3 linked regions of the Drosophila melanogaster genome follow. The protein of the gene in region 1 interacts with the protein of each later gene in a pairwise test. Each region holds a gene or a part of one and is shown in the gene's direction. Other genes may lie near its edges.

Region 1 (6,305 bases):
TTTGCTGCGCACTTTGGCCGTGCTGCAGGCACAAAGGATTCGGGTGCATCAGCAGATTGAGGAATTGGAAGCCACACAAAATATCTACTTGGAGAATCCGCAACATATGCTGGACAAACTGCGAAACAACGAGCCTTTGATAGCGGATAATTACATCACCACGACCGTTCTACCGGACTTGCCAACTCTGTCGCCCAATGACGAGGAAGGGGGCACAAATGAGACACCGACCGATGCGTCTTCATGGACGCAAGAGGCGAACAAGAATCGGGACAGGAGCAATGGACGGTCGGAGAATTTCAATCGCTTGTGGACCAACGAAGAGCAGAGTCGCTTGGAGCAGCTGCTCATCCAGTATCCGCCAGAGGAAGTGGAAATGCGCAGATTCGGGAAGATAGCGAAGGCCTTGGGCAACAGAACGGCACAGCAAGTGTATAGTCGTGTCCAGAAGTATTTCCAAAAGCTGCACGATGCCGGAATGCCTGTGCCCGGTCGCATACCCAAGCATCGACGTCCTGGTTTGAGTAAGCCGAAGATCAAACTTCGCAAGTCAACCTTCTTCCCCGCTCATAATATATCGCTACAAATGCCAGAGGACGATTTCACATTTGACGACCTGCGAATCCCATCGCCTGCGAGCGATATGCTCCTTATGCCGGCATCCAAGATCGAACCAAAGATCGAATCCGAGTACATGGATGCCGATCTGAATGCGGAGTCAAAGCGAAAACAGGAACTATGCCTTAAGCTTCTATCAGCCATTCAGGACGAGAAACGGGAAATGGAGGACGGATATGAGCCAGACTTGCTGGCCGCCAAGTGTGCCGAGTGCGAAGAGGCATCTGTGACCAGGACCCAATGGCGTTGTAACAGTTGTTATTGTTACCTTAATCTGTGCGGAGATTGCCTGGCCAGTCAGCTAATCGAAGGGCGTTTCGAGCATTTAAGTCATGAAGTTGTAGTGGACCAAGAGTCATGACGCTCCTAGAGTCCCATTTACTTGAGTACTAAATTACTAGACTTGCCTGTAAAGCTACAAATTAAATATAAAGAGAATAATTTTAAAAAATTCTATTTTATTTATAAAAACTTAATATTAAATGGTATAAAAGAGAGGCCCTCTTAATTGCGCAATTGGGCAGATGATTTCGGCAGAGATTGAATACGCTGGCGACGCTTTGCTTCGAACTCCGTAGCCAGCTGCCATGTTTCTTTGTCCAACGTATCCTTCCCCCGGGCGATGCCCAGCAGCCGTGAGAGGACCAGCAATCCATGCAGATCATCGGCATTACTTTTGACATTAGCTTTACGCATGTCCACGAAATCCTGCTGGATCATTTCAGTGTGCTCCTCGCTCACGTTGAAGCCGCTAGTGCGCGCTGTGGTCAAGTACTTGCGAAACTGCTGCAGACGTGATGGCTGCAGATAGTGGTGGGCTGCCTTTAGAGATTCATCAACAAGTTCCACGGCCTTAGAATCGGCATTAATGGGCAGCACAAAATCGCTCTGAAAACATATCATTAATAGTTTCTATTGGATATAATGATTATTTATATAAACTTATATTCTTACCGGCAACATACTTCGCCCTTCACTGAGCACGAGAACTGGAATATTTGCTTGGTAGTCTATTTGGTAATACTGAAAGTCGCACTTCAGTTCCTGATTATTGATCAAGTGCGCTAAATGCTGAACGGCATGAACACCATTGGCCTCCAGCTTGCCCTGTTGCATGCACGTCTCGTCGAGCACCAAATGCGTATGGGGAGCCAACTGTAGTACGCCGGAAACCAGCTTGTTTGTCTCATAATCCTTCCTGCAAGTACTCATTAATAGGTATTCAATTTTATACTATTTCTGCTTAGCCAACTTACTTTGGGGCAAAGGCTGCCGTGTTTAGTGTGACGAGAGTCATGGGCATGTAATGGCTGGCCGGCAGTAGCAGCTCCAGAATTTGATACAACTTGGTTGCATACGCCTCACAATTCTTAGGGAGATTACAAAGGTTAAGGGCGAACTTGCCGATGCTCTGCATCTCAGAACGACTGTAGACCGTAGATATTAGGTGGGAGAGCAAATACTCGGCAGCCAGATCGTCATCAAAGAGGCAGAGTTTAAGAAGCATGCGCAGATCTTTGTGCACAGCAAGGTGGGTTGGATACGTCTCCTCACATATTTCCGTTGGCTGTCGAAGGCTTTTGTCCAGCAGCGGATTGGCATGCGGCAGCACCTGGACTCCGAAGGCATGCAGGCGGGGTATAAGAAATGGCGATGGATGAGCTGCCTGCAGTTCACTCAAGTTTTCACAATCGTCTATTTCCAGGGTAGCGGCGTCTAGTGAAGCATCCACTGACAGAAAGCCCACAAAGTCGACCAGCGAGTTAAGCTGGTAGGTATCGAACTCCTCGTAAACCTTTACCATGCATGCCATGCTGGGACGATCCGGCAGAGGCGAGTTAATCAGGTAATCAGACCCAAGAACAGAGGATTTGGAGGCGCCGACTGGCTCGCTATCTTTTTGAATCTCTTTTAGGCAGGGTCGCTTGAACGTTGTTTCGCTCGCAACGTCCACATCCATGGCTTCTTCTTCGCCTACAATAGTCCGCTTCTTGGCTGAACTGGGAGATTGACCCAGACTGGCCAAATCGATCTGGGGACAGCACAGCTTCTCATGCTCCTTGCTCCAATCGTTCAGACCAGGCACAGAGACCACGAACATGGTACGCCTCTCTCCATGCACGTTTCCATCGGCGTTGTAGTCAATCACTTCGCCATTGGCTATTTTCAAGCAGTCCCTGTACTTTCCTTCCTGTACACGTTTGCTGCCGTCGGCGGATTTCACTTCGTAGCGCTCCAGATAGATTTCTGGGTCCATCATGTCCTGGATCATTCCACGAAAGCGCACCAGAGTCTGATCCTTCAGCTTGTGAAGAGGCGTGTAGTTGAGCAGGGGAATCGAGTGCCAACGACTGGGATCCTTGAGCAAGTCCTTGAGTGCAGCGCTGTCCGCTTGCTGGGCGGCCAGTTCATCGGGCGTGCTGGGCAGCTCCATCGCACAGGGCATTATCTAGTTAACGAATGAATTTGCAAATGCCTCAAAAACCTCGAATGCAAAAAACAACAGCTGCTTTGGCGCGCCAAAAACTGATTGCAGCATATTAGTGATGGTCATCGATGGGCCTATCGATATCTGCCAGGGATGTCGAACTCTGCCGCAGAACGGATGTAGAGGCGGATGTGGACATCCGCAAAAAATGTACAATTTGAGAATTACCAAAGAATTGCAGCGATGAGCAAGAAGAAAAGCAATGTGTGGCAGTACTTCTACAAGACATCCGGCACAGTGGCCACCTGTCTGCTGTGCAACAGGAACTACTCGAGGCGAGGACGCGGCACAACATGTCTGCGGAATCATCTGAAGAGCAAGCACCCACCGGAGTTCCTATCTCTATCCGGGGACATAAAGTACCTGGACCTGGTTAAGAGCGAGATCTCCATCGGTTCGCCACAGCACCCCACAGCCCAGCTAGAATTGAATCTGCACGTAAGTGGGATAGCATATAGATGTGCATACATACCTATGTACATGCATATGTACTGTGCAAGAAGTGTACCTTATGTGAAATCGGGGTACATGCCCTTCTAGATATTCTGTCATGTGGAGATGGTTTCCCCAAACTTAAGTTTCCATTCAAATATAGTTTCTTTGGTAGTTCATAAAGTAATTTATGCCTTCTCTTATTTAAAACTTTTTACTAATATAGCAACAGCGGATGCGGATTTTTATCCGCGTTTGGCTAGATCGGCAAACATGTGTTGTGTTTATAAAGTGTAGTTAAGGAGGTTTTAAAAATGTACTGTTATGGTCTTAGTATTATATTTTTATAAATTATGCGTTTTTCACTAATCTGATGCATTAAATTATTCTATTAATCATTTTAGGAAACAGATTCAGATCCATTGGACACCGAGGATATATCCTACAGCAAACGCTGTGATGAGAAGTTGGCCCTCATGCTACTAAATCACTCCTTTGAGTTCATTGAAGGACCAGGATTCGTAAATTTCATTAGGACGCTGCAGCCGCGGTACACGATTCAACCAAGGAGCTACTATGAGAAGATACTGTGCGAGGATATACAAAGGAAAATGCATCAGCATTTGAAGCAACAGGTGGATCTGCTGGATGCCATATCGTTGTCTACGAGTCTCTGGCGTGGTGACAAAGGCGAAGGACTGCTGAGCTTGTCCTGCTCCGGAATATCAAGGGATTTTCAGACTCACCGCCTAATGCTGAAATGCGAGGCTCTGAATTACGAAAGCACTTCGAAGCTAGCTTGTTGCATTCGAGATCTTGTGCCCAGCTTGGCCATTGAGGTGCCCAAAGAGAAGATACACTGCGTAATCAGGGACGAGATGACGGCGCTGCCAGGTTCCCTGCCCGATTGCAGTGTGCACCGCCTGCAGATGTGCGTTCGATTTGCTTTGCAATCGAACGAATTACTGCAGAACCTTTCATCCAAGTGCAAGCAAATAGTTGACCATTTTGCGTCGTCTAAGATGGCCAACGATCATCTGAAATTCATTCAAGAGATCCGCTTGACGCGAGACCCGTGCACACTTACACCTTACGATCCCTGTCAATGGAATTCCGCTTTTCAGATGATGAGCAGCGTGTTTCGAATGAAAGATGCTCTATCCTTGTACTGCGAAGAGTATAGTCTGGTCCAAATATATCCAGATGAATGGATAGAGATCGATTTGTGCAGCAAAGTAATGCAGCCTTGTGAAGAAACAATCAAGATATGGAGCAATCCATCTACGACCACCTCATCCGTAATCCCGCTGGTTGCCGCTTTACGGGATTCCCTCCGAACAGATGTCCATAACTTTGTCTCATCTGTGGTAAGTTGCAGTAGATAAAACCATAAAGTATTGTCTAATATTTCGAATGTCTAGACTATATGCAGTTTCGCCAGAAAGTTGCTTGAAGAACTGGAAATGAAGTTCGCCCACATCACTAGCGACATCAACTTTTTGATGGCCACATATTTGGATCCGAGATATAAGCAAGCATTTTTCACCGAACGTGAGGAGCAGTTGGTGGCCAATGAAGTTCTGCTTCAGCTCGCTGGAGTGCCAGAGGATTGCAATGGTCAGCCACCGCTGAAAATAATCAAAGTGTCATCCACATCGTCCCAGAAGAATGAATCAAAGATCGATAGCATTCTGGATAGCATACTGACAACTGGAACGACGAACACTCAACAGCCAAATACGTCAATGGGCTCCCAGTCTCAGATTAAGAATCTGCTATATCTATACAACTCCGAACCCAGAATCGATAGGAACATGGATCCCCTGATTTGGTGGAGGAGCAACATAAAATACATATCCTTGTATGGCATTGTTAGGAAATTCTTATCAGCACCAGCAGCAAGTGTGGTTAGTGAAGGCTTATTTAGAAAATCAACGCACTTGTATTTCGACATGCAGGCGGGCTTGAGCCCCGAAAGTGCATCCAAAATGTTGCTCATGAAGGCCAACTTTAGCTTTAGCAATTCGGAAATCAATTAGGATACAGTAATTTATATAATTTAAACGTATTTATGTACATAATATTAGCTTTAATCTTACAACTACTTGATTTTCCGGAAAATTAGATTTTGCACTTAAGCCGCGTGTATGGCTGATTGCCTGATGGGTCCTAGCCCCTGTAATCAGGATCATTGTGTTCCTCTTCGTCTTCCTCCTCCTCCTCTTCTTCATCTAAATTAAAAACATGTTTTTCATAATGTTGATTCTAAATAAAATGAAAGCTATGAAATTCTTACCATGATCTCGACGTTTACGTGTGTAGGCTCGTTTGCTGGCGACGGGCGCTTGATCAGTTTCGCCATGTAGCAAGGAATTGCGATATAATATCAGCGGCTGCCATTCCTCAGCTCGGCTGGATGGCATTGCGGGTGGTATTATCTTGTCCAGAAAGCTCATTATGACCTTCTTGTCTTGCTTCAGTAGCTTGTAGTTGAACTCGTTCAAAACCTCCAGGAAGAGCAAGCGAGTTGGAGCCCGCACCGGATCATCTGGCTCCTTGTTCGCAGCGAAATAAATGCCACCACGATGAATGGCGGCCACAGATTCGCGATTCTTGATGGCATCGAAACCAAATGTGAGCGCAAATCGCTTGGCCAACTCCTTGAGGTCCACAAACTCTTGCGAACTCTTTGAAACTATGCCATCCTCACTCTGCTCCTGCAGACTCTTAAAGACTGTGATCAGGCTCAAAAGGAGCGTCATAGCGA
Region 2 (5,928 bases), on another chromosome or scaffold:
AGTTCCAGTAACGCACGCAAAGGAAATTAGATTGAAGATGGTTCCTACCGAGCATCTGAAATACTCAATATCACTGCCCTTTTCGCGACAATGATAGTACCCAGAGCAGTCAGCGGGATCACCAAACAATCCAAGCCGCTGGCACTTTCCAGACGAACTGGGCAACTCGTCGTCATCAGATCCTGTGTTCAGGCAAATCTGCAGCTCGTCATCAAAGGTAAAGCCCGTTGGACAGTAGTTAAGATGCCATTTGCCATCGATGCAGAGGCAGAAGACATCGCTTGCCGTGCTGTTAGGACATGGGGATGGAGTATAATCGTCCTGGCACTCAACGCTTCCCACCCGGCAGACCAATCGGTTGGCATCGAAGTAGGTTCCTTCAGGGCATTTCCAGATCTGAAGGTGCTTATCTTTGCACACGCAAAACTCGTCCATTTCTGTGGCCATCGGACATTTGCCGATTTGGTGATTGGTACAGCTGGTAGTGTCTGTAGATACGCAGGCTTGGATAGTTTCGTTAAAGTAGTAATCATCTGGACAGGATTCAGCAGCTGCATCCAATCTGAGCTCCAGATAACTGCCGTTCCCCAACCCTTTTCCCGTTTGAAACAACAGAAAAGTTAGGAGGCAGATAATCAGGCGAGATGAATCCATGTTGCAAACTTTCTAAGTAGACCTCTTCACACTCCGCCTTATATAGTACCTCACAACCAAACGCAGAATGTTTCGGTATAATTAATAGATAAACTGCAATGTTGTCACGAAAAAAACATTCTATGGAACATTTATGACCTAGTCACAGCACTCTTAGCAAGAAAGAACCAAGACAGTACTAGTCCATTTCTATTGCACTTTTATTGGAAAAAAACAAAGAACTCATTCTGGTTTAATTACCCACGGACATGGTGGTTGAATCTTTATTATCAAACTGATACCTTTTGAAATGGGAATTCATAAATTCATGTCAAATAGATTGTTATTCCAGGGTAAACATGAGTTGTTTATTAAATGTAATCCATTGAAGAGGAATAAATAAAGTGCAGGAATGCATCTTCCTCAGCAGCTTCCCAGGACGCAGGAGGATAGCTCCGGTCGGTAGTAAGTCCCATTGGGGCAGTCCATGTGCCGCAGGGTGCCATTTAGAGCCGAGCAGTAGTAGTACTTCCGGCAGTCGTTTCCATCGGCCATCAAGCCCACGTGCTGACAGGTGTTGGGCAGCACCGAAAAGTCGTCGTCGTTGGGATCCTCGATGATCACCGAAGGATCATCGGTGCTGGGCGGCAGGACATTCGATCCGCTGCGGCAGACGTAGTCCACGAAGGTCTCGCCATCGTTGCACCTGTGCAGCGAGGGGTAGATGACGATGGTGTCGTTCAGGTTCTGGTTAACCGTCGACTTGCACACGTAGAAGATATTGGGATTGGTGGGCCAGGCGGCCACGTGTCCGGCATTGGGGCAGTAGTACTGTCGCTGCAGGCAGACGGAGTCAGTCAGGGTCAAAGTGCACTGGCCAGTCGTCGCATCGAAGGCCTTGTCGTTGCCGCAATCAACGGCAGCAGCCACCAGAGTGGCCCCCACGAAGTAGCACATGTGGTACTTCTGGCAGTCGTACGGATCTGGAAAGATGCCTTGCGAGGTGCACTGAAAGTTGCCCTCGATGCCGAACGGATGACACGGGCCCGTCTCGTTGGTGCAGCTCCCCAGCCGGGCGTTGCAGTAGTATCCATTAGCCACGTCGCACGATTCCACGGGAATGTTCACCCATCCGTTGGAGTGACGCACGCAGGTGGCCAGCAGCTCGCAGGACTCGCAGATGGGCCCGGGACTCTGACGGCCCTCGCAGGAGTTTGTCTCCCGCGGCTGGATGCGCCGGGTGGTAACAGTGGCTCCCATAAGCAGAGCCACCAGGTTGAGCAGTAACTGTTGGGCGGTGGGGACATAAAAATCAAATGCCATTCACTTAAGTTTATCCTATTCTGAAAAACTACCTACCACGCTCACTAGTATTCTTTCCAAGAACATGACGATGTATTTCCCCTTTTGGACTTTGTTTCTGGTTAGTTTAGGTCCAACTTCCACGAGAATCTTCGATTGTCTGATTCAGACTCATATGGTGACAGCAATAAAAGTCCCGAAATAGCAGACTTTAGATAGCGTTTTATATCTTTTGGGTGTCTGTTTGTCTATCTATCAACTTTGAAAAGGCGATGGGAGTTGGGCAAAGTGGCAAACGCAGCGGCGTTTCTAATTACAACAACTACGCGGATCGGAATGCCGCAATGATGGGTGAGTGAACGACATTTACTAAAAATTGGTCCAACTAGCTGGAGTGTCAAGTGGAGTGGGTGTTTAATGTGTAAACAAGTCGGGATTTTGTTTGGCCGACTTATTCAGAGCACTTTAAAGTGCTCTCGAGTAAATATTTAAATACCATTTCTTTCAATAAAACTGACCGCTAGCTTTTGTAAATATGCACTTTTAGTAAAGGAATTTAATGCCTAATCTTCGGTTCATACCTAATCTTCAATCATAAAAAATCGCTGAGAGAAATAACGGGAATGGGTTGGGTCACCGCTAAGCGCTTAGCCACGTCCTCCACCGCTCTGCTGAAGCGGAACCCTGCTGCGCGACCAGTGTGAACGAACTTCTTTGAACGATAGTCAGTTCGGAAGCACGCACTCATGTCGATAGTGTCACCTCGAACGCCCTAACAAATAAAAAAAAGGAGGAGGAGCAAAAGGACAAAGGATGAGCAAGATTCCAGGCAGCAATCTGGAGTTCGTCCGCGAGGAGGACTTCGTGGAGTACTACATCTTTCCCAAGATCCCCGACAACGTACAGGATGAGGGCGCGCTGCGCAAACTGATGCTTCAGATCCGCAACGAGATCTCGGCCATTGTAAGGGAAAAGTCCTTAGAGCGCAGCTATCTGTGGCACAAGGACGAGTTTCAGCTTCAGGTGAGGCTGGGCGGCGCCGAGGAGCGCCTGCTGAACGAGGAGACAAACCCGGAGGAGGAGGCGGAACTGGGTATGCGCACAATGTGCTATAAATAGCTTTGTTTCTGCAATTCGAAATCATCCATTTCCATGTCCCCGCCCAGGCGACCTCCCACCGCACTTCCACGGCGTAACCCACTATGGCGACAACATCAGCGACGAGTGGTTCGTTGTCTATCTGCTCACGGAGATCACACGTGCACGCGGCGACTGCATTGCACGGGTGAGCGATTCGGATGGCGAGTTCCTGCTCATCGAGGCGGCGGACGCCCTGCCCGACTGGGCGTCTCCGGAAACGTGCGAGCAGCGCGTTTATCTGGTCGGTGGTCACCTGCAGCTTCTCCAGAACTCCGCCGCCAGCAGCCAGGACAAGCCACTGACCATGGCCATGGCTGTGCAACGTATACGAATGAATCCCACCCTGTACCGCTGCTCGCAGGAGATACAGTCGTGCATTGACGCGCGGCTTAAGGAGTACCAGATCGCTCAGCCGCACTTCTCCATTCATCGCCAGGTGCTGGAGCTCCCGCATAGCGCTGCACAGCTTCTGAAACAGAAGCCAAGGCTGCTCTCCTCGGCGGTTAGGGCTTTCTGCGAGCGGGACTCGCTGGACATCAAGGCACTTCGCACCATGCGATATTTCCCACCGGAGGCCACACGCGTGCGCACCAACGTGCGTTTCACCCGCTGTCTGTACGCCATGTTGTCGCACCAGCAGTATCTGCCCGAGAAGAGACTCGGCTGGCATCTCACGGATCCTGTATCCGAGCCGGAACGATATAAGGAACAACTATTGGGCTTGAAGCTGGCCAGTGGACTGGAGATCCTGGCCACTCAAGCCAAGCGGGTTGAGGGCCAACAGCTGGAGGACCTTCCTGCCTGGCGATCGTATCTGCGGAGCTTGCTGAGCAAGGGCTACTTCCGGGACAACATCGAGGGCAGTGCCGAGTACCAGGAGCTGCTGAACAAGGCCAAGGTGTACTTTCGTGGCAACCAGGAGCGTTTCCGCACAGCCTCCAGAGCGGGTGCCGAGATCCTCGACCTGTTGCTCCATCCAGCGGAGGCTGCTTCCGAGGAGCTGCGCGATGAGGAGAACAACCTGCAGCCCAGCGACTCGGATGAGTGGTTGAATATCAGCGCTGAGGATCTAGACTCCATGCTGCAGGATCGCTACGGACCCAAGAAGCTCTACAAGCCGAACGGACAAATGAATGCCGAGGAGTTCACCAAGCAGCTGGCGGAGTTCTTAGATCGGCAGTCCAACTACGAGGGCATTGAGCACCGAGGGCTCGAGGAGCCAGAACTGGACTCAGACGATGACGAGCCGCCGCCGCAGGCAAACGGTTCCACAGGACTGACAGCAAAGGTCAAGAAGAATCCCTCCATGCGCAAGGCGTGCCAGCGCAATTCCGTCATCCAGCCGGAGGAACCGGACAGCACCCATGTGCGGAATTTCCTGGATTTCGTAATACCCGAGGACAACTGGGACTCCACCTCGGAGATGAGCGACTACGCGGACGAGGACGACATGGAGAGTAATCTAAATGCACTTTCTGGAGGCGGCAGTGTGTTCCCACTCGATCGACAGATTCAATCGTATATGGAGCAGATGGACCGCGAGTTGGCTCAGACCAGCGTGGGCAAGTCCTTCCACGGCAAGAAGAAGACAGCTCCACAGGCGGACGAGGACGATTTCGATGACATTGAGGACTTTGAGCCCATCAATATAAACGTAAACACGCTGCGCAACATGATGGATAGCTACCAATCGCAGGTTGGCGGCGCAGGTCCTGTATCCAATCTGTTTAGCGCCATGGGCGTGGGCATGTCGGCTGTCGAGGACAAGGAACAAAAGGATATATCTGAGTCGGCCGTTTAAGCGGGATTACAGGAATTAGTATAGTCTTAAGTCCATTAAATAAACGTCAATGTGAATATTTCAATGTAATGCAGAGTATTCTTATTTGATATATTCGATAACTAATCCTTGGATGCAGGCACAAAGTTTCCATAGTCGCGTCTGACCTTCATGGGTGGTTCGTTATTGGGAGTATCATTTCTCTGGTTATGATCATGGGAGCGCTTGTAGCCTCCAGATCCTCCGGACCCTCCGCCTCCTTCGTACCGATTCCGGCGATCGATGTGATCGTATCTGTTGTTGCGCCGGTTGTCTGTGGGAACAAATGCGTTGGTAAGCTATAAATAGAAACTGAGCTTCTTCCCGGGTATTACCCCTGAATCCCCTGTCCTGGTTGTTGTGGTAGCCAGCTCCTCCTCGTCGCTGCCAGCCCCTGTCGCCGCCTCCTCTGCGATGTCCGTTGTAGCGATTGTGGTAGGGATGACCACCGCCTCCTCCGCCCTGGAAGCCGCCTCCTCCTCCGCCACCTCCCATCCAGTTCTCCACAATTGGCGGCTCCGGCACAGGCTTGCTGCAGTGCGCCATGAACTCTGGGTCGTCGTCAGTGAAGCGGTCTGCGAACTCAAGCTCGCAGGACTCCAGGAAGTTCAGGTCCCTTTCGACCAGACGGTTTATCTTTCGGTTGGGATCCACCATTGTTTCGGTATTTATACAAATAAACTCCCTTCGACTGAATTTTTCAACACAGCTCAGCTGCGACAGCTGTTTATGTGTTCAGCTGCAATTCTGAAGTAACAGTGATTTGGTCAAGTCACGCTATCGAAATAAATACACCTCACATAAGCACACACATATATCGGAATCAATTCAGGTTAAGAGAGTTATTAAATTATAATATATTAATGGTGACTACAAATTAATTTTATTAATTCCTTGCACCGCCTTACAAACTTGAAATCACTGAATCAAATCACTGCTGAAGGCGCCCATCGCTGCGATGTGGGTGCAGTATTTAGCCTCCCGCCGTAGTACGGTCACACTGCTCGAGCGGGGAGACTTTTCCGTGGAAAAAT
Region 3 (5,941 bases), about 12 Mb from region 1:
TTGCGCCCAAGGTTGCGATTTTGTATATATTTATTACAAGAATGCCACTCACCTTCATTTCAATCAATATATTTATTTTCTAGAAGATTGAAATCAATAACCATAACTCTTTGGGAAATGTACTGGAAAACCTTGAAATCTATATCTTTACTTATGTTAATTACAAATGACTATTTGAAATAAATAGTCAAGTTATACCATAAGTTCGATAATATAAATGCTTATACTATCCTACTAGAATAATTTAATATTTTGCATATAAGAGTATAATTACATATAATTACCTCCTGAAGCATTAGTGAAGCATCAAACAGAAACAACTCTATGCAATCTTCCTTATTAGCTGCCGCCAACAATTAAAGCCAAGTTAAGCTCGGTAGCTTAGCAATTAGGTCCAGGACAGTAAGTTGTCCAATGGCTAAGATCAGCCGTGGGCTTAAGCAGAAAAATGCATTAAACAATGGCTAATATAGCATGTCTGCTCAATTTCAATTAAACGAATCGAAACAAAACTATTTCAACCAACAAGTTAAACGTTGTTCCGACCATATCGATGCGCAGTGGCTTGAGTGACATGTCCTAATTCGTAAGCGTTGACTTTTACCGGCATTTCAATTAACCCAATTAATGGACGGGACCTAATTAAATTTTGAATTCATGTTGCCAGCAAACGCACACTCATCCAGCTGCCTAGTTGCCCCGCACACAGATACGCCGGCACACACACCCTCGCAGGCGAACACACAGACATCAGTCAGCTGTTTTCTGCTGGCCAGCTGTCGTTCGAGTGCGAAGGAGATGGCGCGAAAGCCTCGCAATTCGGGGGTGGTTGGGGTACTGTTGGGGGTGGCAGAGGATGGTGTTGGATGGTAGCAAGGGGGTGGCTCGCTGTAACAAGTATGTACTAATGTCGGCGTCTGGCTAACTGAGACACGGCTATGAATGAGTGCCCCAAACGGAGCAAGCGGGCCACTGAAACTGTAGCTCGATGACCTTGATTATACAACACAGCAGCAGCGCCACCACCCCCCAAACCAGCTCAAACTCTACCAGACCCACAAGCAGCCCTGTTCGCAGCAGGGCCACTCCTTCAAAATACCCTACGTCAAATAAAAATGGCAAAAAAGTAGTCAGAGGCTACAGACACTCGAAAAAATAATAAGGAAATCTAACTAAATTGTACAGTAACACAATATGTTTATGATGTTAAACTTAAAATATTATAAAACTAGATTGTATCTCTATCACATATTCTATATAATTTAGAAATGTGCACATTTAAGTAAAATAATTTACCACCACAACTCATCTTAAACTTCTTCCTGGCCTACAGATAAGCATTCTTCAAAATTGCTTAAACAAGCTTTTCTTCGAGTGCACCCCAAGAGTCGGTGATGGTAACTGGTAACTGACATTACAACAAATCATCGGCCAGCAAATGTTGGCAACTGGGTGCCAAGTCAACGAACTGCTAACCGCAACACAGACACCGACCGCCACCCACTCGAACACATATATAAATTGCCGTACGGGGGCGTCATTAAAATTGCAACAGGGCCTTGAAGGAGCAACAGAGCAACAGGGGGGGAGGGGGTGGAGATTGGAGCGCTCCCCAAAAGACCAGAAGACGAAATCAAAAGATCAATAATTATTATGATGTTGCAGCACACCCGAAACGAGACGCCTTCAGACCGCAGAGCCAAGTCAAGACGGGCAGGTGAGACAAGGGGGGCGGAAAGGGGCGAAAAGGGGAGCCCCAAAAGCGGAGGGGCTACAGCCGAAAAGTTCGACAAGCGCATTACAACAGTTCGGGGGTAGAAAGACAGACGACGGATGAAGAGTGGGGTAGGGTTGGCCAGGGGGGTGCGCTTGCTTACAAGTGCAACCATTTTGTAGTACAAACTTCGAAAACCAAAAGCGAAATTGGCAAAACAAAAGGCCAGCGAAGGGAGCGAGGATGTGGGCCCACCTCCTGACTGCCTCCATTTGTGGATTGTGGATCCCGCAGCCACAGCTGGAGTCGGTCATGCGCACTCCGTCCAACCGATTGGCCCGCTTCGCCGCCATTTAGAAAAGGCCCACCAAGTGGAAGCGAAAGAGATGGGCTTGCTGCCAGAAAAGGACGGAGCGTGAGAGCGCTGCCCGCAGAGCGAGTGCGACAAAAACACCTGTTCCTGTTTCGAACTCCCCCCCCCCTGCAGGCCGTCAGTCCATCGAGTCGGCTATCCGCTATCGGCTATCCGAGAAGTACACGCAGAACTGGCTCGGAACCGGTTGCAGCTGCACCAGTGCCACACCAGTTCCCTACCCTTGCGGAGCGACGAGCTAGTCGCACTGCTCTCGCAGGCAGAATGTATCTGCGAGATACATTTCGGGGTGAGTGGCTGGCTGGCTCGCTAGCTCGCTGGCTCCCTGGCGTGCGGATAACGTACGGCAAACGGAACGAAGCGCCGACCGGTTTAGTCGTTCAGCAGTCTCCGTGCAGTGAGCATGTTTGTGCGCCAGACATCGTCGTTGGTCGGTTGTCGTCATCGCTACTATATAGCCGTCGTATCGCGAACATCGACCGTCTTAGCTCGATAGCCGTCGGATTTGCCTTTTCGGATGCGAGAGACTCTTAAATCCCTCACCATAGATCCAAATCCCTGCGAACAAAACGCGTGTGCGCACACGGATCACACAGCCGTGATAATCCCGCTAAATTCGCCGAAAACCCAGTGCTCTGTGTCCCGGTCTCATATTGAGTAATTCAAGCAAACTTCACGGAATAAGTAAACCAGTACAAGTGCCTTACACAAATATCCCTGCTCAATGCCGGAAACTTCTTGAGTACGGCCCAAAACGAAAAGGCGCCCGCTCTCAAGATTCCCAGCCCACAAATATCTCGAGTGTGCTTCGCCGAGTGTCCTGTCAGCCAAATATATGGTAATGGCAGAGATTGGTGGCCATTTGGCTCACCAGCTACCGTTGCACAATCACAACCACAATCAAACTGGATTACAGCCATCGCTGGTGATGAACCATCACCTGGATTTGGATTGCCATGGACACGATGTGATAAGTGAGTACCGATATTCAAGGGCTGCTGGCTTTCCGATTTCGGGCTATTTGGGCTGCATCCTTGAAAAGGACGATATTTAATACTGGAGATAGCACGATCACTTACCTAGGGACAGTCTTAAAAAAAGAACAATGGAATGCCCTTCCACAGTTTGGATATGAGGCTATTGTATCTTCTAGATACATTTGTTGGTTCTAAGTACTTTCGGTCTGTTTAAGAAGGCATTACAGTTTTTTTCCTTAGTTCCCTTAGATTTAAAATTTGGATTTAAATAAATGTCCTGACAAATAACTTAGAGGCTAATAGGGGTTTAGTCTAAAAAAGCGCTTTGTTGATCCACTGTAAACCAAGATTAAATTGCATTTTAAATCAACCTATTCAGAAATTGTATACCTGCAATTGAAACATCATTACATAGATCACGCATCAGTGTCGAATCATTTGCCGCTAATAAAGCTATTTAAAGCAGTTAATGACTTATTTATGGCTATTGTCCTAGTCCCCAAACAAAAATTGGCAAATTAAATAGTCATTAAACAAGAGCCACTGATGGGTAACTTTCTCGATTCGTAAATATGGAAAATGAACGAGGAAAGCCCGCTTTGGACATTAAAAGCCAATAAAATAAGTAAAAAGCCGTGTTAACAAATGCTCGCACCCAAATCACAGTTGTAAACTTGTCTTGCTTATTTTTGAAACATTTTAATGCCCACCATTTTAAATTCCAGATATCAGAGATCAAGGCTCGGACTCAAAGGTTCCGAGCTTTAAAACCATGAACTGTTAGTCAAGTTTATTTGTAACGAAGGTCGAAGTTATTTTTATACCAAAATCATTAAAAAGTTCAGGCACGCGTTGAACTCTTTCATACCTTGAGTTTTTAATTTTGCCAATGGATGTGATGTGAGCAAGGCTGCGCTAAAGTAATTACAAACAAATTAAAGTGATACCAAGAAAATACGAATCCATAAATAATTTTTATTGTGCCATTCTTTTGTCAAATTGGAGGATCTTTTTTTTTGTATATTGAACGACTTTCTGAGGTTCTATCTTTAGGTTCGGGATTTCTTTCGGGCCACAGTCGTTAGCCGACTTGTCGCTGCAGCTTTTGTAATGGGCTTAGACCCTATCTCGACCTGTCACTTGTTGTTTCAGTACGGCAATAACTGTTAAATTATAGCCGTATTTTATTTTAAGCACACTTTACATATTATATAGAAGCCAATTAACGGTTGAATGACATTTTAATGCTGAGCAATTAAGCGCGCAAGCAAAGCGGGCAAGCAATTGCATGAAAAAAGCTGAAAAGAGCTGGAAATGTATCACAAATGTATCTCATGCGATAATGTGACAAATTTTTAACTAGCCTAAAGTTTGTTAACCAAAATGCATTTTATGAATTCATAAACCAAGAGTGTCATTAAAAAATGCCATCCGTGTGTGACAGAAAGAGGAATATATTTTATTCAAATTTTATTTCGTATGCTAAATTGTGACAAATGTTTTGGCTGACAGTTGTCTAACCAAACGAACGACCGCAGAACACAAAAAAGCCAAACAAAAATTCCGAAAAAAAAAGGAAAACATGAAAAATCATAATCATAAGCACATATACTACATACAATGGGTTCGGGGAAATTGAATTATATATGAGGCTGGAATAATGCAGCACATGCAGTTGTAGCTGCGAATCATTTAAATTGCATTGAATTTTAGTAATTGTAATTTAAATTCAAATTAGTTGTCGGCCATGGAGCGCTGGTAAATATTTAATGTCCGAACATTTTAATTTGAAAACTTTTCACAAAGTTTCCTCCCCATCGCTCTGCTTAGTTGCTCTGTGAGTTAGTTGGCGGCTGACAAAACTTTAAGTTAGAGTTTTCCAGCTTCAAGTTGATATTTGAAATGAAAACAATTTTTGTAGTTTTCGTTTCGTCCCCCCCCCCTCTAGTATCAGCCAGCTCCACTCTCTTTTGTTAGTTCGCTTGGTTCCGAGGCGAGTTTTGTTTGTTTGTTGATTTTTGAGCGCTGTAAACATTTTAATGAGTTTTCCATGTCACAGACCCAGGCCTCCAGTCAACATGTCGTTGGCAACTTCTCAAGTAGTCGTTAAATTAATTAAATATAGTAAAAACAAAAAGAAATCGCCATCTGAAGTATCTGAAGAGCCTTTGTTTACTCTCCGTGCTCTATAGAAAATTATGTAAGTCCGAGATCGCTGCATACATCAGGGCGTTGAACTAGTTTCGGTTTTTCATGTTGGCGGCTGCCATAAAATTGTACCACTTTATGTTGAAGACCATCAAAAATTGACAATTATTTGCGGCCATAAAAGCCAAGCGATTTTTATTTTTATAGTTAACCAATTAGCCAAAAATTTGAATAAAATGCGAAGCGGGGGTGGCACGGATTTTCCCCTTACTCGTCGTACACATGTTCCCTAATCTAATTCATATTAATTCCATTTAAATTTCTCGCCAGCAAATTCACCGAATGCTAATTGGCATTTTCGATGAATAAACACAAAACCTTTCGAAAGTTAATTGTGAAAAATGGATTGGGCAAATGTTTAGCCAATGCACAAAAAGTTGAAATAATTTTTCGAATAATTTGTAAAGTGTCAATCGTCGGCCATATAAGGTTAAGTCGTCTGCGAACGAAAGAGAATGGAACCGAGTTTTCAGATGAGGCTGGTTATTTAGCCATAGATCACCGATCTCAGATCTCTTGGTTATTTATAGAGCTGCTGAAACGTCAGTGAAAGGAAAAGATGTTTCGTATACGCAACGCGATTCGATTTAGAGTGCCATAAAATTAACTATATTACCATTCTAAACATGCTTCGATCGATTTCGTTTGGAGTTTTTTGTTGTTTTTGAT

Evidence for each region. The genes of interacting proteins can lie anywhere in the genome.
Region 2: the proteins of CG13775 (region 1) and ecd interact in a two-hybrid assay, tested with the Drosophila melanogaster proteins (one large-scale study listed by BioGRID).
Region 3: the proteins of CG13775 (region 1) and tup interact in a two-hybrid assay, tested with the Drosophila melanogaster proteins (one large-scale study listed by BioGRID).

Annotation. Positions count from the first base shown.
Region 1 is NT_033779.5:6,953,857-6,960,161, reverse strand, and holds CG13775 (uncharacterized protein), read left to right. Parts: upstream 1-3,211; 5' UTR 3,212-3,289; coding exon 3,290-3,544; intron 3,545-3,818; exon of another isoform or gene 3,819-3,854; intron 3,855-3,942; coding exon 3,943-4,905; intron 4,906-4,959; coding exon 4,960-5,577; 3' UTR 5,578-5,707; coding exon of another isoform or gene 5,708-5,769; 3' UTR 5,770-5,805; downstream 5,806-6,305. Other genes in the region: Atac1 (Ada2a-containing complex component 1), read left to right, coding at 1-979; CG3430 (uncharacterized protein), read right to left, coding at 1,123-1,506, 1,573-1,816, 1,875-3,064; SA1 (stromalin 1), read right to left, coding at 5,708-5,769, 5,835-6,305.
Region 2 is NT_037436.4:2,262,596-2,268,523, reverse strand, and holds ecd (ecdysoneless), read left to right. Parts: upstream 1-2,666; 5' UTR 2,667-2,748; coding exon 2,749-3,028; intron 3,029-3,101; coding exon 3,102-4,876; 3' UTR 4,877-4,943; downstream 4,944-5,928. Other genes in the region: obst-I (obstructor-I), read right to left, coding at 1-654; CG13806 (uncharacterized protein), read right to left, coding at 1,057-1,920, 1,993-2,022; CG13807 (uncharacterized protein), read right to left, coding at 4,978-5,168, 5,230-5,551. UniProt on the Drosophila melanogaster protein: Required in both the follicle cells and the germline for oocyte development.
Region 3 is NT_033779.5:18,877,777-18,883,717, reverse strand, and holds the start of tup (tailup), read left to right. Parts: upstream 1-2,456; 5' UTR 2,457-2,922; coding exon 2,923-3,061; intron 3,062-5,941.